Linked DNA regions of Drosophila melanogaster. The protein of the gene in region 1 interacts with the protein of each later gene in a pairwise test. Each region holds a gene or a part of one and is shown on either strand. Other genes may lie near its edges.

The links.
Region 2: the proteins of CG1674 (region 1) and CG18449 interact in a two-hybrid assay, tested with the Drosophila melanogaster proteins (one large-scale study listed by BioGRID).

The regions. Positions count from the first base shown.
Region 1 is NC_004353.4:229,862-234,451, reverse strand, and holds the start of CG1674 (uncharacterized protein), read right to left. Parts: upstream 3,027-4,590; 5' UTR 2,852-3,026; exon of another isoform or gene 2,825-2,851; intron 2,603-2,824; exon of another isoform or gene 2,518-2,602; 5' UTR 2,499-2,517; coding exon 2,475-2,498; intron 2,174-2,474; coding exon of another isoform or gene 1,604-2,173; intron 188-1,603; coding exon 107-187; intron 1-106. Other genes in the region: yellow-h, read right to left, coding at 4,053-4,541.
Region 2 is NT_033778.4:8,366,656-8,369,929, forward strand, and holds CG18449 (uncharacterized protein), read right to left. Parts: upstream 1,273-3,274; 5' UTR 1,154-1,272; coding exon 674-1,153; 3' UTR 508-673; downstream 1-507. Other genes in the region: CG2127 (uncharacterized protein), read right to left, coding at 2,348-3,265.

The DNA.
Region 1 (4,590 bases):
AATGTAACGTCACAAAAGTTAATATGAAGACGTGTTTATATTTTTTAATAATTACACATGAATTTGTATTGAAATGAGCTATAAAACTGTGTATAGTCTTACTTACCGGTTCATTTAGCGAAACAAGGTCTGCTTTAGTGTTTTCGGCCGATAAATCAGATGCAATGGATGTTGGGTCATTGACATTCTAAAAATAAAGTACACTTTAAAGATCTAATCGAAATTGATAATGTATGATTTGCACGAAGCTGTAAGTAAACTTTTGTAAGCTGCGTATTAAAATAATGAAGTGCAGCTGAATGAATGTTCCAAAATTTTAAACCAAATCATACAATAATTAATAAATCAATTATAATATTAAACATATGCAATTAAACAACACAGTTCAAAGAGTCGTAGGCTTTTGCCTTATGTTTGACAAAATTTACTCTGCAGAACTGCAGAAGCTTAAATAATTATTTGCTTGTGCTCAAATATAAGCGTTATACCTAGATTAATACCCATGCAGAGTCAGAGTTTTTCGTATATATCTGAGTAGTTCCCCTATCCGTATCCGGTTCCGAAAAGCACATAGTTATAAAGCTTGACTATTTCCAACATTATTTTTTAAAACGCACTTTAAAACAAGAGAGAATGCTATAGTCGAGTTCGCCGACTATCAGATACCCGTTACTCAACTAGTGTGAATGCGAAGCCGAAATTTTATAATTATTATTGGATATCAATAGATATTGGGGAATAAAATGAGAAAAAAAATTTAACATTGTTTAAAAATGTGGGCGCGTCCGTTTTGATAGTTTTGTAGGTGAAAAAATGGGCGGACAACAGTGTTTTTGGTATACAGACAAAAATTGTATGCTTAATCTCAACCTTCTAGCTTTTTTAGTTCCTGAGATGTCAACTTTCATACAGGTGGACACTTCCAGATCGACTCGGCTATCGATCCAGATCAAGAATATATATACTTTATATGGTTGGAAACGCTTCCTTCTGACTGTTACATATTGATCAAAGATCTAGTATACCCTTTTACTTCACGAGTAACCGGTTTAGAATATGCAAAAGTGTGGGGATGACAGTTTCCGCGGTTGATGAACGTTGGAGTATGAGGGCCAATCTTTTAAAACCAACTTGCAGAAATGTCACTGGTATCAGAATGCTGAAAGTGCATATTCATATTCATATATATCTTGAAGTTTAAATGGACAAACAGGCGGAAATGGCGACAACAATTCTAAAAGAGATCCTAATCCATTCCGCCTTTTATCTGATTTTGAAGATTACGAGTAATCAGGACATTAATTCCTTAAACTTGTTAGAATTTCTTTAAAAATATAAAAACGTTTCAACAATATTTTTTTTTTACCTAAATCATGTTTTAAATATTATTGACTTAGATCCAAGTACCTGGACTAAGTTACTAAGTTACAAATACACATTTAGACTTTATGAAGTAAAAAATAAATGTAGCCTTTGCAGGGTATATGGTAAGTTAGGGCAACATTTGCTTTACTTTTTCTTTATAAATATTATGTTAAATAAAAAACATTTTTGAAGCTTGAAGGCGATAATTTAGGTCTGTTATTCTTAAAAATACAAATACTTTTTCCGACGAAGATTTAGTGGTATCCTGTGATTTGCAATTTTCGATAGCTTTATCATCTTCGCCTTTAATTAGAATGTTCGACGTGTCTTGAACAGGTGATTCGTTTTCCGCATTCGATGAATTTTCACCATTAGTACTCCCATCTATTAAGTCCAACTCGAAATTATTCTCAGAAACGGTGGACAAATTTTCCACAGATATTAATGGGTCCGTTTTAATAGATGCATCTATAATAATAGGGTTATTGGATTCGGAGTCTTCTATCTCAACAGTTCTCTCCATATCCGATGAGCTAATATCTAAAGACGGCTTGTCAATTAGTGCAGCTGGGTTTACTTCCAAATCTGTTGTATTTTTTTTCTCTGAATTACAGTCTTCAGATTCGCTTTCTTCAATTTTTAGATCGTCATCATCTTTATTATCTCTTGAAGTGACGGGTTTATCAAAACCACTGTCAATATAAGATACCAAGAGTTTTTCATTGAGATTATCATTATCTTGGGGAGTAGTTTTAATCTCATCAGCGTAATCTATTTGGGTTTCATTTTTTGTAGCAATTTCTTTCTCCTTTAGATTGTAGAAAATATGAGTTTGTAAAGTTTATTTCTATCTATTTATTAAATGGTAATATTACTATTATTTACATTAAAAATGATGGCAAAAAACGTAAACGGTATATTTAGTTAATAATTACAATAATTTATTTAAATAAATGTATTACCATTTTCTCTCTGAGAAAATTGTCAAAAGTAAATGTATAACAATGTAAAAGATGTAAAAAATCTTGTAAAAAATCTAAGCACTTTGAATTTTTTATAGGTGAATATTATATTTATATTAATTAATTAAATATTGTTTTTTGACTTACCTCAATATTTAAAGTAGAATCCATATCTAAAAGCTGTACAAATCTATAAAATAATAATAAAATGTAGAGAAAGGAATTTATATTTGTATCGTCTCAACAGGTAGGCAGGTCCTGCATTATTATTATTACATAAGGGTGTAATTTATAATAAAGCACATGCAACACACTCAGTTATAAAATATCGCATTTTATGCTGAATGTAAATACATATAGAGACACTCAAATAATGTTCGTTGGTGCTGTTATTATGTAATACATAGTGAGAAGCATATACAACATGAATGTTAATTTCTCTTCGACCACACTAACTTTTCTTTTTTTTAATATCCATAATAATAATTTACACGTACATATATCAAATATATCTTTTCACTTGCCTATTTCCCAATGTTATTTGTTTAAAAAAATATTTACTGCAAACAATACTGTAGTATCGAATTATTGAAAGATAATAATACAACTAAAATCCGTATAGGCCAATAGAATGAACATGAATTCATGCGCCTGCCTTTAAGAATATGATTGCACATCAAAGATAGCTTCCACACTGTCCACATGCTTATTTACTTGATTATCGGCTCGTTCGCATACAGCAATTTGGGAAATGTGTATTTAAAAGTCACACACAAATACATTTATTTTCACAAATACAAAAATATTTTCTCGTAAATTTATACGTATGTATACAGCATCTTTGTTCGGCAAACAAGCGCATCGATGAGAGCCCCTTTTATTGGAACGGAGTACTTTATTTACTATTTTTATAGTTATAAGTCGCAGTGTCTTATATGCACTTACATACATACCTTGTTTTTAAAACTTAAATTTACGAATGAGTAAAGTGCGAACCATCTTTAAGTTAACATCGCCCAAATTTGATTATATTCAAAGTAATATCTCGAGAAAATACTGTAACATGAATATACATATATCCATTGATGTTCGATATTTCTTTATAGATAGTAATATTCTCTTTTAGAGATGTTATATTAAGTACACCCAAAATCAAACCACTTTCAGAGGAAACTAATGACGATAACACGAACTTGAAGATACAATAGAAGAAAGAACACGCTCCCTACCTGTTACTTCTTACAATTGGATATAACCTTTCACAGTACGACTAAAAAATATAAATATATTACAAACAATTGTATACACGTTTGAATTTGAACCCTAATATTCATTCGTTGAAAACTAGAATGGCGGAGGGAAGAACTGCTGACCCATAAAGAATATACTTCGAATATTCGAGCAGAATCGCAAGCCAAGTTGATCTAGCAATGTACGTCCATTTTAATTTCGTGATCTTTAAAATTTTAAAAGCTAGAAAGCTAATTTTAGATACGTATGTTCTTAAAAGTCCGATCTTATGCCAATTTGGAACTCGTACACGTTTAAAAACTGTTATTCTTTTAGTCAATTTAGTTAATTGCTTGGACACAACAAAGCGCAAAAATCTGTTAGACCCAAACCTTCAAAAAAGGTACTAGAGTATCATTTGTAACGGACGCAAATACCAAGGTTGTTCAAAAATTTACAACATTTTGTTGTGTAATTGTTTATTTACCATAGTTTTCAAAAACACTGTCCTTCTTCTATCAACACAAAAGCTGACTTTGATGTATTAATATAACTATTATCCGGATTGCAAACACTATTGCGAATAATCTTATTTACATTCGCCTTTAAAATTCGAAAATTTACTTCTCCATAATCTAGATTGCTGTATAGAAAAATTGGTAGTCGGTTACTTATAAGCCATACATTTTGATCTTTTTCTTTGTCTACTTTTAAATCATTTGGAAATTGAATAAGATTTGAGTTTTCCATATTATGAAATTTTCCCAAATGTGCTCGAGTGTATGGTTTCGATGTATCCCAGCATCCAATATCATCTTGATGAACTTGTGTAAAAAACATAATGCCATTCCTTGTAACTCCTGATGTAGATGATTGAGAATTATATCCGCGGTCTCCAATTGGTATGAAGTACTTGGCGTACTCTTGAGTATTCGTTTGCCACACAGATTCGTTTAACAAGATATTCATAGGCACCATGAACTCCTAAATGAGAAAGTATTATAATCACAATTATTATTATTATTATATCAGT
Region 2 (3,274 bases), on another chromosome or scaffold:
CCTCGATCTCTGGAACTAATAACGATAACAGCACATGTTTGTTGGCCCATGCTGCCACACTTTTTCCACACTTTTGGAAAATGTTCTGATATTTTTTCATTCTTTTCTATCGATTTGCCTAAATCTGTCACCACACTTTTGCAAAATGCTGTTATATTTTTTTACATAGCCACGCCTCTTCTAACGCCTTCAAGACGCCTAAAACTGCTACGCCCACACTTTTGAACAATGTTATTAATTTTATCTCATTTTACTCCCTAATATCTATTAATATGCCAGAAAAAAAAACGATATTACGCGTTCGCATTGTCACTAGCTGAGTAACAGGTATCTGATAGTCGAGTAACTCGACTGTAGCATTCTCTCCATGCACCGCTAAATAATTGCTTAATGGAATTAATTATGTTTTTTCGACTTTACCTGCCCAAAAGTGCATAAATTACACACGATATTTTTTTAAAACGCCATCAAAAACCCCTTAATACCATAAAACACAAACAAACAATTATCTTAAAGATTGCAAATTTAATTTGATTTTGTTTCTACTGTTATACAACACAGAAAACCTATTCGACTTTAAACTAAAACTCGACATCTAACATATGAGGCAAAGGCAAATTAAATCCACAATAGTTAAGATCGAAGTTGATAGCGAAAACAAGCCGTGTATCAGCTAGTATCCATCAAACGCCATTCGATCTGATGCAGCTTCTACGTAACGCCTTTTGTTTTTGCTTTGGGTGGAGATAAACTGCGAGATGAATTGTTTAGCAGGCATTGCGATCCTCTGGAGGCGCCTATTGGGGTCGGTAGTTCGGCGGAGTTCACGAATGTGGGGTCGCTCCTCCTGTGAACGCGAGTCCTTCGCCTCCTTATGGGCTTCCTCATTTGGGATGACAGCTTCCCGCCAGGTGGCCTGATATTTCCGCTCCGTCCAACGACCTGGCCTGTATTTGGTGTCATCCATGCGCTCCTCAATCTGCGGCTGCATCTGTGATTGTGGCCAAGTTCTCTGGTGGTTTCGCTCTTGATTGGAGTTGAGTTTGTAGTGAATTTCATCCAAACGTAACTGCTTCATTCCGCGACGCGTCACCAGATTTTCAAGTCCGAAGGCCACTATCCTGCTGCTTAACAAAGCTTTTGTCGAATTCATTGTGTTTCAATATGATTTATTTTGATTTGATTTATGATTTTGATTTTTTTTAGTTTTTAAGTAAACTACAAGTTTTCAGAAGAGATAATAAACATATATTAAATTTTGTAGACCGGAACATATAGATTGTTATGTGTGAAAGCCAAGAATGAAAATGAAAGTATTGGGAAAAACTAGTGGGGAAATGAAAATGCAGGGCTTACTAGATAGATTTAAAATTCGATCTTTCAAATACGCACATGGTTTTTGGTGATTGTCGACGGTTTGCCTACTCGATCTGTCGAATACCCATGTGGTTTTCGGATTATCGGAAAACTATTTTTTCAAAAATTAAAAAAGTAACAAGAATATGCCTTTCGGGACCAATCGGTCGCCGCCTGCAAATTAAACTCCTTAGTACATAAATGATGTTGCATTAGCAGCTTAAATATGGAATTATTAAATATCGATTCGAGTATGGAACCGAAGGCACTAGAAATTCTAATATCTTTGATGGAACCCTATTGCCCATCCAGTTAATTAAAAATCAATGATTGAAACTTTTTTAGTTCTTGTATTTCGTTCAACGTCGGTCAGTTTGACGTGGATTAAAGCTTTATAATAGGCGTCCAGGATAACTGCAAAGGTTGGACATGGACAAAACACCTAGGCTCCCAGTGCCACCAACGGGATTATGAGTACAGAGTCCTCAGTCTTATGGAATGAAAATGTGGGAGGGCCATAAGCGAGAGACATCCCCGGAGCTCCGGTATCCAAATTGCCGGGGATCAGCACTTGTCAAAGTCCCAGCAATCGCACTCCTTGGAAGGATTAGGGTCAGTCTGTTTTCGCTTGCACTCCGAGTAGCTCGGGAATGGTGTTGGGACCTTGGAGCAGTTCTTCCTCTTCGCGGAGCGCTTGCAGCTGGGCTCCGGCTTGCATTTATCCTTCGAATTGGAGTTGCACTTGGAGTCCGAGGTGCCGCCCTTGGAGCTGGCACAGCTGGCCAATCGGACGACGACTGGCATTAGGGTTTTCCCGCAGCGTTTTAACAGCATTTTGAATTTGGAAAGTGTGGATTGTGGATTGTGGATTGTGGAGTGCGAATGGAATGAATTGGCTATTTTGGAAAACTGTAATTTTGGTGGATTGTGAGTTGGAAAAGTGACCGGAATGTTGTGGCCAGATGTCGAATGACTGTGCTTTCGCCGCCGCCTACGTTTCGCCACACTTAAGGACTGCCCCCTTGCCACGGGCGATCCTTCGCCTCAGCTCCGCCCACATCTCGCAGGCCATGGGAACTCGAAGGCATAGGCACTCTGTAGGTGGTGCGTTAGTGAGCTCCTCCCGCTTGCATTCTGAGAAGCTGGGATACGGCGCCGGGCGCTTGGTACAGTCGGTAGGTCGGCGTTCTCGGTGGCAACTGGGCGGAATACGGGCGGGCTTGCAGCAGGGAAGAGTCCAGCGCGGACAGGGTGAGGAGTCCTCTGCCTTCTTGCACTCCATGGGATTAAGCATGGGCATCGTGGGACGGGCTGTGGCCACCACCGTCTTCCGCTGACGGCGGCAGGGCTTCGGACGCGGTCGCTTTGCGTGGATGCACACCTTCTTGGGCTTGATCACCAACCGGGGGCACTCGTTCCACGTCACCTGGTACTGGCGGGCCTCTTTGTCCGATATGCGGTAGTGCTGGATGTCGTACCGCACTGGCACATCGCACTTTGGCACGTACTCGCAGTCGGGTATATACCACATGGACCTCATCTTTGCTGGCAGCTTCGGCTTGTTGGACTTTTCCTTCTTGGGCTCTTCCTTCTTCTTGCGCTTACCGCCCTTGACTGCATCGCAAATGGTGCCCTTGAACCGAGCAGGACCACAGCCCTTGGAGGTCGATACCTGATCGCAATCCTTTGGCCGCCCGCAATCATCGGCGGAAGACTGACTGCTGTAGTTGCGGCGTAACAGGTGCTGCCGGAGCACACTGGAGCCAACGCAGTCGGCCGGGGTTTTGATTTGGCTCAGATTCTTGGACCAATCGACCTTGAATAGAGAACAGGCATTTACCAAAGACTCCAGGCACGGCATGCTCCGATCTACGAGGGAACGACATTTCTGACGCAACATTCGCAACATATTGAACCT